Linked DNA regions of Drosophila melanogaster. The protein of the gene in region 2 interacts with the protein of the main gene of each other region in a pairwise test. Each region holds a gene or a part of one and is shown on either strand. Other genes may lie near its edges.

Region 1 (5,676 bases), on a different chromosome or scaffold from region 2:
CTCTTGTAATCATCGCTGCACTCCGTTTCGTTCTCAATATCTACATTCTTACTAGTCTCCGCCGGCTCCTTTTCGGCATTGGAAGCGCTGCTTTTGTTTCCTGACGGGGATCCCTTCGTTGCAGCTAGCTTGGAGCTTTTCTCCACGCGCGATGTGAGCTTCAGGGAGGCCCCCTTCACGTCCTTTCCATGCTCCGAATCCTTGCGCTTCTTTTTCTTTACGTCCTCGCCAGATTCCTCGTAGTCCTCCTCTATGTCTGAGTAGCAGCGCTTGGCAGCCGAAGTTCCCTGATGATTCGTATCGCTGGATTTACCATCGTTGCTGCTCTCCTCCGCTGAAGATTTGTCTTTCGTGTCCAGGACCTCTTGCTTCTCATTCAGGCTGCCCTCGTCAGTCTCTGCGTCTCCTTTCTTGCATTCATTCTTCTTTAAGGTGGTGCGGGATGAATCTGCAAGAACGAGAATCTTATACATTACATTTGACGGCTGTGTGATTTAGTTTGGAAGATCATGTAGGAAGTAAAATGAAAGCTTATTGTCTATCGGATATCTTTTCGGGTGGAATTTGTAGTTATGTTTGAAGGAAAACCAACTAAAATGATTTTGTGTGAAAACTAAGAACTTAAGCATCGTTAAATGAGTTGTTTTTAATTTTGGTTTCTAAAGTATTAGCTCGGATAAGAGACAGGGTTTTTTTGACATCTTTACACATATTTCTTCAATAATAATTGGTATCTTCATTTGAATCAGTTAAATGACAATTTATCCGCAATCGAAACCAGTTTCTCGGATACTTTTACATTATTCCTGACTCTCAGATACATTTATGTATGTACATACGTAGATATGTACATGCATAGATGTATATGCGTGTAAGTATGTACGCAGCGAAGTACCCACGATGTAAATTGAAATTCAAGCCGACGAGCAAAAGTTCTAAGCTTTGTGACTGAACTATAAAATCCACTTGAATCATGTGAAAAGTAGACATTCACTTAATTATTTTGCTTATTTACCTGTCGACGAGTTGGCTGTCATTTGGATGAGCAGAGCCATTTGCTGCCTCTCCGACATTGGCGTGTTTGAGTTCGATCTGGGTTGGGTAGCTCCTGTATTAAATCCTATCCCCTTCGGTCTTGGGGGTGGCATACTCTTTTGTTCAGTTTTAGACGGTAAAAATTAAAATATAGAACAAAAACGGAGACTTGAAAAAGTCTTGCAAAATTTATTACAAAAAGAATAGTGCGACCGTATCGTGAATACAAAAATATGCCAGCTTGCTAATATAATAACGATGTTTTCAAATCCATTAAGTTAACAACAAATTAATTTATATATTATGTGTACAAATTTCAAGATACACCTTTAATTAGTTCCAAAAATTAAATTTTTTATTGAACTAAATCAATACCTGCTCCACCAAGGTATGTGCGTTTGTTGACCTCCAACATGTTATAGATGCTTACAAATAGCATGTTGCGCATTATTACTTTTAACTACTACTTTATTTATACTACATCTTAGCTATTATACGAAGTCTTATTGTTAGTCTACCCGATTTTTTCAGGAATTTTCATTTCTTTAGTTAGTGTTTCGATTCCACTGCGTTCTCCTCCCGACAGTGTGACCACTACTGCACAGTTGAAGAAAATCCTAGCTTGTCAAACACAATTCAACGCCCCGGCTACGGTCACACTCAGTTTTATTTTAGAAGTTTTGCAGTGTAAGATATTTTTATAGCAAATCTACGCACTATTTCGCTTATTTGAGGAGTTTGCAGAGCAAAACCGCTGGTAATAAGTTACAATATTTGAATGCACTGCGCGATAACTTGCATAATCATTTCCAACTGGATTTCGAACGACAAAATCCATTCACCCACACACAAACACATCTACTTGAGCTTATCTGTGTATGTACATATGTTGCACATAAATATAAGTGACTGCCACTTGAAGAAAAGTTTTTTACTGGAAAATATGATTCGTTTTACATAAATAATCAAGTCTAGTTGGAAAAGTGCTCGGCGGCAGCTCGTGTGGCAAAGTAAACACAAATGGAGGCCTAAGGCCTAAGTAATCGTTTAGCATGATAAATACTAAATACAATCTCTTAATGCCACTAACTTTTATGTTTAAGTGTTCATAGATATTATGTACAAAAAGTGACTCACTTTTTAATACACTGGAATTAGTGAGCTGGGGTGTTGTAACCCCATTTGCAATATTTATAATCTGACTATTCCAATCACAATATTTGGCGATCTTGATTAAGAATAAAGCTATTTTCTCGAAAATCAACTTACAATCTCATTTTACGCAATCTAGATTTCCGATTCGAAAGGCAAATGACTAAAGAAAACTATAATTTTGAATATGTTAGGGTACTAATAGCTTCGGTCTCTAAAAAACTATACAATTTATTTTAGTTGATGTAAGCAGCTACTTTTGCCATTCGTTTTTTGTTTATTGCATGACGCCAAGTGTAATTAACTTTCGCCCATAATTATAACCATAATAAACGAACTAAATGGCCTTAAACACTTTTTAACGAAGTGTCATGTTTATGTAAATCACACCGGCAATGTTGATAAATAATAAATAAAAGAAAGTTTTCAAAGCACAGTATTCGATATAAATCGAATATGCTTCCACCATTAGTTTCCAATTAGAAAACATAATTGAATGAACTGGAATTTGTTTGGCTTAAAAGTAAATTGAAGTTAACTTAATCCAGAAAGTTGATCCCTTACTTTTAATAGTTTCTGTAGTTTCTAAAAGTTATTGTTACAGCGAATGTAATAGCGCGGGCATTTTCGATTATCAACCACCTTTTTTAACGTGCATGCGCACTGCGAATTTTCTTTTTCATCGTATTGATTAACGCAGCTAGAATCGTTTAATATACGGTTAAAATGATTGTCTCCAAAGCTATCAAATCATACAGGATGTAAAACACATCAAATACCTCGATTAACACCTTTTAATTTTGATATCATTCATGTTGTTACACTTTCAGATGTCAGAGGGTTGTAGGAGCACTTACTAATCTGTATTTTGTATGTGTTTTGTAGACAGAAAATTGAGAAAATCGGCAAAATGACGCAAATGTCGCAGGACGAAATCATAACCAATACGAAAACAGTCCTTCAAGGCCTCGAAGCCTTGCGAGTGGAGCATGTTTCGATTATGAACGGAATCGCCGAGGTGCAGAAGGACAATGAAAAGTCGGACATGCTGCGAAAGAACATCGAGAACATCGAACTGGGCCTCAGCGAGGCCCAGGTGATGATGGCCCTGACATCCCATCTGCAGAACATCGAGGCCGAGAAGCACAAGCTTAAGACACAGGTGCGCCGCCTCCACCAGGAGAACGCCTGGCTTCGCGACGAGCTGGCCAACACTCAGCAAAAGTTCCAGGCATCCGAGCAGCTGGTGGCCCAACTAGAGGAGGAGAAGAAGCACCTGGAGTTCATGGCGTCCGTGAAGAAGTACGACGAGAATCAGGAGCAGGACGACGCTTGCGACAAGTCCCGCACCGATCCCGTGGTCGAGCTATTCCCGGACGAGGAAAACGAGGACAGACACAACATGTCGCCCACTCCGCCCAGCCAGTTCGCCAACCAGACTTCCGGCTACGAGATTCCAGCGCGTCTCCGTACTCTGCACAACCTGGTCATTCAGTATGCATCGCAGGGAAGGTAAGTCATCATCCATGCATTTTATTTTACTCGTGAGCACTAAAGAAACCCCTTACCTACAACATCGTTATCTATCAATTCATCATTAACTATAATAGCCTAATATATTTCTAGATACGAGGTAGCCGTTCCCCTCTGCAAGCAAGCATTGGAAGATCTCGAAAGGACAAGTGGTCACGACCATCCCGATGTAGCAACCATGCTGAACATTTTGGCTCTCGTGTACCGCGATCAGGTGCGTCTACGCTTTGATTAACTTAATTTATACAATCGTTAATTAACAACATCTCGTGCCATACAGAACAAGTATAAGGAGGCCGCCAATTTACTCAACGACGCTCTGTCGATTCGAGGAAAGACACTGGGCGAGAACCATCCAGCCGTGGCGGCCACGTTGAACAACTTGGCCGTCCTCTATGGCAAACGTGGCAAGTACAAAGATGCCGAGCCACTGTGCAAGCGTGCCTTGGAGATCCGAGAGAAAGTCCTGGGAAAGGATCATCCCGATGTTGCCAAGCAACTTAACAATCTCGCCCTGCTCTGCCAGAATCAGGGCAAATACGACGAGGTTGAGAAGTACTACCAGCGAGCTCTCGACATCTACGAATCAAAGTTGGGTCCCGATGATCCCAACGTGGCCAAGACAAAGAATAATCTGGCCGGCTGCTATCTGAAGCAAGGTAGATACACCGAAGCTGAAATCCTCTATAAGCAGGTCTTGACGCGAGCCCACGAACGTGAGTTTGGAGCCATCGACAGCAAAAACAAGCCCATTTGGCAGGTAATGTTGTGTTGTTGTGCTGTTATGCCTGGTAAATACTCAAAAGTTCCTTTTCTTACTACAATTTTCAGGTGGCTGAGGAGCGTGAGGAGCACAAATTCGATAACAGGGAGAACACTCCATATGGCGAGTACGGCGGTTGGCATAAGGCCGCTAAAGTGGATTCGCCCACGGTCACAACCACTCTAAAAAATCTGGGAGCACTTTACCGACGTCAAGGCATGTTTGAAGCGGCCGAAACCCTGGAAGACTGTGCAATGCGGAGTAAAAAAGAAGCCTACGATCTAGCTAAACAAACGAAGCTCTCACAATTGCTAACGTCAAACGAAAAGCGACGATCGAAGGCAATTAAAGAGGATTTGGATTTCTCTGAGGAGGTGAGTTTCAAAATCGAATCACTTAACTTAATTAACTTAAATTAATCATTCCCATTTATTCTTGCAGAAGAATGCGAAACCATAAAAATATTATTTGTTCATCGCCCACAACGGAATCTTTAAGTTTATGATTGAAAGCTAACAGCAAACACACACTTTATTTATTCATTCCTTAATATACATAAGCTCTCAAGCATACATTAGCAAATAAACAACGTTTTATACCTTGTTATTTCAAAAAATATGTACCGCTTTTAATAATAAACCAAATATATTTAACATAATCCTGTTTGTATTTAAACCTTCAAAACTAAACCAAAAATACGGACCAGATATAGCACATTACAGTGGAATCAGCTTAACATTTATTATTGATAACAAACAGTACGATTAGTTTGCCTACGATAACTGAGTATCAGTTAGTCGCTATCATTGTCATTTAAAATCGAGGAAACTATGCCTGCAAACTGCTCAGCCCGATCCAGAAATTGTTCCCGAGTGAGACTCGTATCGTTACGTAGATTTTGCGCCGTGAGGAGTAAGTTTTCAAAGTCCTTCAGCTGACTATCCAGCTCGTCGGCACTGATTTCCTCCTTGTGATCTGCAAATCAATAGGACGAAATGGATTATTGGTTTCTCAACTCAAATCCTGGGCACTAACCAGAACCAAACTTGACATTGGACCAAACTACGTTTTTCAAACCCTCCACAACTTCCTCGTAGTCCTTTTCAGCTTCATCTGGGTCACTCTCAACATTGCTTCTCAATGTTATGATGTCAAAAAGGAAATTCGTTTTCTCCTTAATTTCTCCAAAGGAC
Region 2 (7,123 bases):
TTGTTCGACAAAGTCCGATCCCTATACTTCTTCTGCAACAGCATTACGTTTAACTGATCCTCGCCTGACTGGCGGCGATTCTTCGTACAGCCGCAGCTTTGATTCCGAACGGAGTCTCCATCGTCGGAGTAACTGCCGGGTTGATTCTGTTGCTTGGCCAACTGGTCTAGAAGTCTCCCGCACACGGCATTATTATTTCGCTTCCAGCTGTCGCAGCACGACTTCTGATTGTCCTCGCCGATTACTTTACGGAACCTGGGCTTCCACTCTCCGCGTTTTTGGGAACATAGTCTGGGACCTGGCCATCTATCGCTGCGTATACCATTGCCGACGGACTCGTAACCATCCCAGTTGTCAGCACCGACGTACACATCATTTTGTTGCGTTTGCGATGAACGCTTTTCTGGGTTGTCTTTCGTGGGACATGAACATGGTTTCCCAGTTCGATACTGTTTGCTATCACTTTTTTGGAATTTATTTGACTGATCCTGTTCCTGATACCGATTAGACATCCTTGGGTTGGTACTGCCGCTTTCTCCGCCTTCTAAAGAGCTCTTACTTCCGAATTGAGGACGACTGCTTTGACCTCTTAGCTCGCACGCTTCACAAGGATCTTCGTCTTCCTCTGGCTTGCAACGAACACAGTACGCAGTGGGATACCACCGATCATTGCCGGACGTAGATCTTTCATGGTGCACACCTAAGAACTCTTCATTTGGTGGCTCAGGCTCTAGAATCATCTTGTAGAAGGTGTACCCGCACCTGGTTTCACTGCAGCTGGGACTTAAAAAAGCTAGAGGCGATATGAATGTGTCCTCCGAAAAATTGGGTGGGAAATGTCCTTCCTTAATGGGACAGTTAGCTTCCTCCTGTGTAAAAATAGAAGATAATGGTTCACTATTCAATATCCAGTGCAAAAACCATCCACTCACCTCCAAGTTTCCCAAGAAATGCAAGTCCTCGAAGTAGGAGTACCTTGGACTATAACTATAACCCTCAATTTGACTATTTCGGATGGCGGCCAATTCCTTGGAGTAGTAGTGCCGCAGACCGAGCACCTGCAGCTCCACCTGGTCAGGAGTCAGGCCGCAGTTCATCCGCCGGGTGATTTGTCGCCAGGCGTCATCCTTCGCAGAACCACTATGGAAACCAGGTGACTTTGGATTCCAGAGGCACTCGTTCGATCGATAAAGTCGGATGAGCTTCTGCGTCTTCTTCAATCGCTCCAAATTCAAATACGACGTAATATCCTTCTGTGCCATCGTGCCCCTCTGTTCTCCACAATCCTTTCCAGCGACTCGGTGATCAATCTTCCATAGCGTTTTCCTATTGAACCTACAGAGGTTGTATGCCTAGTTTGGAGCTATATATTGCGCCCAAGCCGAAATATTTGGACAGGAAAAACAAAAGTGACAATAAACAAGCAATTTTGAATAATTTTTGAATGATTTTTAAACGGTATCGCTTAATTAGGAATATTATATGCCGTTACCATTTTCAAGATCTGCAGGGTGTCTCATACATTCGAAGCTTTTGAGAGTATTAATTCAGTATTATTGTGCAATTAAATGGCGATTGGTATTTAGCTGGGCGAGCAGAACGGTCACACTGGCGCACAGTAGCGAAAATAATAGTCGAATAATAAAATAGTTTTGAGTGCAACTAATTCCGACCTACTAACGTATGCGAGTGCATTTAGCGGCTGCACTTAATCATTCCGGGCAAAAAAGTGCAAAACAGTACGACGCGGAGCAGTCAGAATCGAGGTTGCGCTCCAGCGTTATCGCCATTTGACCAATTCAACTTTTGTGTCTGGTATAACCACAAAATTTTCACTGCATCTTCTTATTTGAGCCGCCCCCAACCCAATTTTCGCGAGTGTGTCGGAATCAGCAGAGAATCGGAACAAAAGGGGCCAAACGGAGTACCAGAATCGGCACAAGCAAACAGTGAACAGCAGATAGTGCGGACGATAGCGAGTCCGTTGATTATCCACGTAAACAGTGAGCTGCATGCGCAGAGGTCGCGCCCAGAGCTGCAGAAATCCAACAATCTCCGCCAGAAAGATCTATCTCCGCCCTGTAAGCAATGTCCGCGGAACGAGAGATTCCCGCCGAGGACAGCATCAAAGTGGTCTGCCGATTCCGACCGCTGAACGACAGCGAAGAGAAGGCCGGCTCCAAGTTCGTGGTCAAGTTCCCCAACAATGTGGAGGAGAACTGCATATCCATAGCGGTATGTGTTCCAGATCTATAGTTTTCGCCAGCCCCCAGTGCCTTTTCCCTATGTGTTATGCATTAATCTCGGCGTGCCGCGCCATGACGTCATGCCTATTAGCGTACATTACCCTTCCCCAAAATTGCCGACCAATTGGAATGCCAGGCGATAAAAAGAGAGAGGCACTAAAGTTACCCATGAATAATTGCACAAAACAAAACTAGATGTACATATACATGTATATGATGAAACCAACTAACTTTACTCCAAATCAATATTGCTTTGCACCAAATTGATTTTCCCCCAGTCGAAAAAGAATAGGGTGTGTAAATCGAAAGAAGCGCGATGACGGGGTGGAGAAATGCCACCCACTAGACGGTTTTCTGCTAAAAGCGGGTGTTCCATTCTTTTGGGCCGCATAAATATGCGCTTTTCTAGTTTCCAGTCCGCCTTCAGTGCTTACCTCACTTACATTTCCACACAAACACATACACACATTGACGGTAGCCCCCGCTCCACTTCCACTCCCCTGTCCGCGCGCCAATGAGTCATGCACGCAAAGCATACAAAAAAAAAAAATATGAGGAAAAACAATAAGAGCAACTTTGGAGGCAATGGAATTTGGCTGTATTGCTTTTATGCCACATGAAATGTTATTGCTTTGTATGCTATGCTGAATTTCCCGCTTTTCCGCCAGGTGTAATCCGTCATATTCCTGGTAAAGCTTGGGCAATTGAACCAGTTCCAAAAAAGTCAGCACTAATATAGTGCCTCCATACACAGACATTATCATTACGCTCTCTCTCTCTCTCTGACTAACTCTATCTATCTCTCTTTCGCTGTGGCTTTCTTCTGGCGCTCGTTATTCACTATTCTTCCCCCTTCCACTTAACATGTCTTAATGCTCATAATTACAATCTGCTTCGCGGCCATGCGTTGAAAATGATTCAAAGGCAGTCAGCGGGAAAAGATCGGGGACAGGGGGAATGAATCTCCGAAAGAAATTTCACCGCAACTGACACCAGTTTATAGCTAATGTAACTGGCTGCTATGTACTAAAGAAAAAAACACATTATACTAAACCTAATCTCCATCGTCTGCAGGGCAAGGTGTATTTGTTCGACAAGGTCTTCAAACCGAATGCATCCCAGGAGAAGGTCTACAATGAGGCGGCCAAGTCCATTGTTACGGATGTCCTGGCCGGGTACAATGGAACGATATTCGCATATGGTCAGACGTCCTCCGGAAAAACGCATACGATGGAGGGCGTGATCGGGGACTCCGTAAAACAGGGTATCATACCACGTATCGTCAACGACATTTTCAATCACATCTACGCGATGGAGGTGAACCTGGAGTTTCACATCAAGGTCTCCTACTACGAGATCTACATGGACAAGATTCGAGATCTGTTGGACGTCTCCAAGGTGAACTTAAGCGTGCACGAGGACAAGAACCGGGTGCCGTACGTCAAGGGCGCTACGGAACGGTTCGTCTCGTCGCCGGAGGATGTTTTCGAGGTGATCGAGGAGGGCAAATCCAATCGTCACATCGCTGTGACAAGTGAGTACTAATTAAAATCGATGGTCAGGACCATTTCAGCCAAACAAGTCTAGGAGTTATTCCAGCATTCGCTCTGACCTCGATTGTAGTGTTTCATGTACCAGATCATCTTTTATAACGATTTATCCATCCTTTCAGACATGAACGAGCATTCTTCGCGATCCCACTCAGTATTCCTTATCAATGTGAAGCAGGAGAACCTGGAGAACCAGAAGAAACTATCCGGCAAACTCTACCTGGTGGATTTGGCCGGTTCCGAGAAGGTTTCCAAGACTGGAGCGGAGGGAACCGTTCTTGATGAAGCCAAGAACATCAACAAGTCGCTGTCGGCCTTGGGCAACGTAATTTCAGCCCTGGCGGACGGAAACAAAACGCACATCCCCTACCGTGATTCCAAGCTCACGCGCATCCTGCAGGAGTCGCTGGGAGGCAATGCACGCACAACCATCGTCATCTGCTGCTCTCCAGCCAGTTTCAACGAATCTGAAACGAAGTCAACGCTGGACTTCGGTCGTAGAGCCAAGACAGTGAAGAACGTGGTCTGCGTTAACGAGGAGCTTACTGCCGAGGAATGGAAGCGACGCTATGAAAAGGAGAAGGAAAAGAACGCCCGACTAAAGGGTAAGGTGGAGAAGCTGGAGATCGAGCTTGCGCGCTGGAGAGCGGGTGAAACTGTTAAGGCGGAGGAGCAAATCAACATGGAGGATCTCATGGAGGCAAGCACGCCCAACCTGGAAGTGGAGGCAGCACAGACGGCGGCGGCCGAGGCCGCTTTGGCCGCCCAGCGAACGGCTCTCGCCAATATGTCCGCATCGGTTGCCGTGAACGAGCAGGCCAGGCTGGCTACAGAGTGCGAGCGTCTCTACCAGCAGCTGGACGACAAGGATGAGGAGATCAATCAGCAGAGCCAGTACGCCGAGCAGCTCAAGGAGCAGGTGATGGAGCAGGAGGAACTCATCGCTAACGCTCGGCGTGAGTATGAGACTTTGCAGTCGGAGATGGCGCGAATCCAACAGGAGAACGAGTCCGCCAAGGAAGAGGTTAAGGAGGTGCTCCAAGCTCTCGAAGAGCTGGCTGTAAACTACGACCAGAAATCCCAGGAGATCGATAACAAGAACAAGGATATCGATGCCCTCAACGAGGAGCTGCAGCAGAAGCAGTCTGTGTTCAACGCCGCCTCCACAGAGCTACAGCAGCTCAAGGACATGTCCTCACACCAGAAGAAGCGCATCACGGAAATGCTAACCAACCTACTGCGCGACCTTGGCGAAGTGGGCCAGGCCATTGCCCCCGGCGAGTCCAGCATTGACCTCAAGATGAGTGCTCTGGCTGGCACGGATGCCAGCAAGGTGGAGGAAGATTTCACCATGGCGCGTTTGTTTATCAGCAAGATGAAGACGGAGGCCAAGAACATTGCCCAGCGATGCTCCAACATGGAAACACAGCAGGCTGACTCCAACAAGAAGATCTCCGAATATGAGAAAGATCTGGGCGAGTACCGGCTACTCATTTCGCAGCACGAGGCACGCATGAAGTCGCTGCAGGAGTCGATGCGGGAGGCAGAGAACAAGAAGCGCACGCTCGAGGAACAAATCGATTCGCTGCGCGAGGAATGCGCCAAGCTCAAGGCCGCCGAGCACGTTTCCGCCGTTAACGCCGAGGAGAAACAGCGGGCTGAGGAGCTGCGCTCCATGTTCGATTCTCAGATGGACGAGCTACGCGAAGCCCACACCCGGCAGGTGTCCGAGCTCCGGGATGAGATTGCCGCCAAGCAGCACGAAATGGACGAGATGAAGGATGTCCATCAAAAGCTGCTCTTGGCGCACCAACAGATGACGGCCGACTACGAGAAGGTGCGCCAGGAGGATGCCGAGAAGTCCAGCGAGCTTCAGAACATCATCCTCACCAACGAGCGTCGGGAGCAAGCGCGCAAAGACCTCAAGGGCCTGGAGGACACGGTGGCCAAGGAGTTGCAGACGCTACACAACCTGCGAAAACTTTTCGTTCAGGATCTACAGGTAAAGTTTAAGCAATCCTATCTATTATTGCTACGTACAGATCTTAAAATGTATTTCCCTTGTGCCAACAGCAACGAATCCGAAAGAATGTCGTAAACGAGGAGAGCGAGGAGGACGGTGGATCACTCGCGCAGAAACAGAAGATTTCCTTCTTGGAGAACAACCTCGACCAGCTGACCAAGGTGCACAAGCAATTGGTGCGGGACAACGCCGATCTGCGGTGCGAGCTGCCCAAGCTGGAGAAGCGTCTACGCTGTACCATGGAGCGGGTGAAAGCTCTGGAGACAGCGCTCAAGGAGGCGAAGGAGGGCGCAATGCGGGATCGCAAGCGCTACCAATACGAGGTGGACCGCATCAAGGAGGCGGTGCGACAGAAGCATCTGGGCAGACGTGGCCCACAGGCACAGATCGCCAAGCCGATCCGGTCCGGCCAGGGTGCAATCGCCATTCGTGGTGGTGGCGCCGTTGGAGGACCATCCCCGCTGGCCCAGGTTAATCCTGTCAACTCGTAGATCCAATCACCACCTGTCGCCGCCCAGTTCAGCTCCGCTTTAAACTAAACTAAATGGATTACGTTATACATACTTAACATAACTGATAATTGCCTTCGCTTAGATGAGATGTGTCGCGATCATGTGCAGCGCTTTAAATATACATACATATAATTTAATTAAATAAATGAAAGGAAACCGGAAATTAACTAAATTTTACAAACCGAAAATAATAAAACCCACAGATATGTAAGGACATCTATATACGTTAAGAGTATTTATAAACTTTTCAAACATAAACCTAAATAAAAGTCGCAGACAAATTAAGGTCTCTTTAGTTTGATTCTTATTGCAGTTCAAAAAAATTATGCCGATTATTTGGCTATTGGTTGTTATTACATCGTCTGCTGTTACAATCGCATGTTGTAACCTGTCCCGCGTGTGTTATGGTGCTCCCAATCGTCTGGAGAATTGACCACCTGCCATTCGTACCACACTTTGGTTGCATCCACGCATCGCCAAAACTGGATGGATATAGTCTGTCCCTCCCTCAGAGTTCTTGGACGCTGAGTAGTAAAAATATATATTAATGTAGCAGTTATCAAAGGCTAACTAATCACATCACACGTACCGTTGCGAAGAACATGGGGAACCAGGAGAACATGCCAGGCGTATGGGTCAGAGGATTGATGCTTAGGCAGATGTCCTTGTACAAATGGGTATCAAAGTATCCGCCGATTCCGTGCAGCACGCAATCTTTATTGACTTTAAATGAAACCGTCTTGCAGCGAGTATTGTCAATATTTTCCGCTCGATTAGGATGTACGAATTCAA

The links.
Region 1: the proteins of Khc (region 2) and Klc interact in binary tests that used the Drosophila melanogaster proteins (3 or more experiments, as listed by UniProt).

The regions. Positions count from the first base shown.
Region 1 is NT_037436.4:12,746,079-12,751,754, reverse strand, and holds Klc (kinesin light chain), read left to right. Parts: upstream 1-1,698; 5' UTR 1,699-1,792; intron 1,793-1,915; exon of another isoform or gene 1,916-2,045; intron 2,046-2,856; exon of another isoform or gene 2,857-2,948; intron 2,949-3,072; 5' UTR 3,073-3,097; coding exon 3,098-3,699; intron 3,700-3,813; coding exon 3,814-3,934; intron 3,935-4,000; coding exon 4,001-4,480; intron 4,481-4,551; coding exon 4,552-4,857; intron 4,858-4,924; coding exon 4,925-4,942; 3' UTR 4,943-5,139; downstream 5,140-5,676. Other genes in the region: CG10984 (uncharacterized protein), read right to left, coding at 1-448, 900-953, 1,016-1,148; CG32109 (uncharacterized protein), read right to left, coding at 5,277-5,458, 5,519-5,676. UniProt on the Drosophila melanogaster protein: Kinesin is a microtubule-associated force-producing protein that may play a role in organelle transport. The light chain may function in coupling of cargo to the heavy chain or in the modulation of its ATPase activity.
Region 2 is NT_033778.4:16,266,451-16,273,573, reverse strand, and holds Khc (kinesin heavy chain), read left to right. Parts: upstream 1-1,602; 5' UTR 1,603-2,088; coding exon 2,089-2,235; intron 2,236-3,320; coding exon 3,321-3,780; intron 3,781-3,918; coding exon 3,919-5,798; intron 5,799-5,869; coding exon 5,870-6,310; 3' UTR 6,311-6,614; downstream 6,615-7,123. Other genes in the region: CG33017 (uncharacterized protein), read right to left, coding at 1-869, 933-1,262; csul (capsuleen), read right to left, coding at 6,700-6,855, 6,921-7,123. UniProt on the Drosophila melanogaster protein: Kinesin is a microtubule-associated force-producing protein that may play a role in organelle transport. Milt and Miro form an essential protein complex that links Khc to mitochondria for light chain-independent, anterograde transport of mitochondria.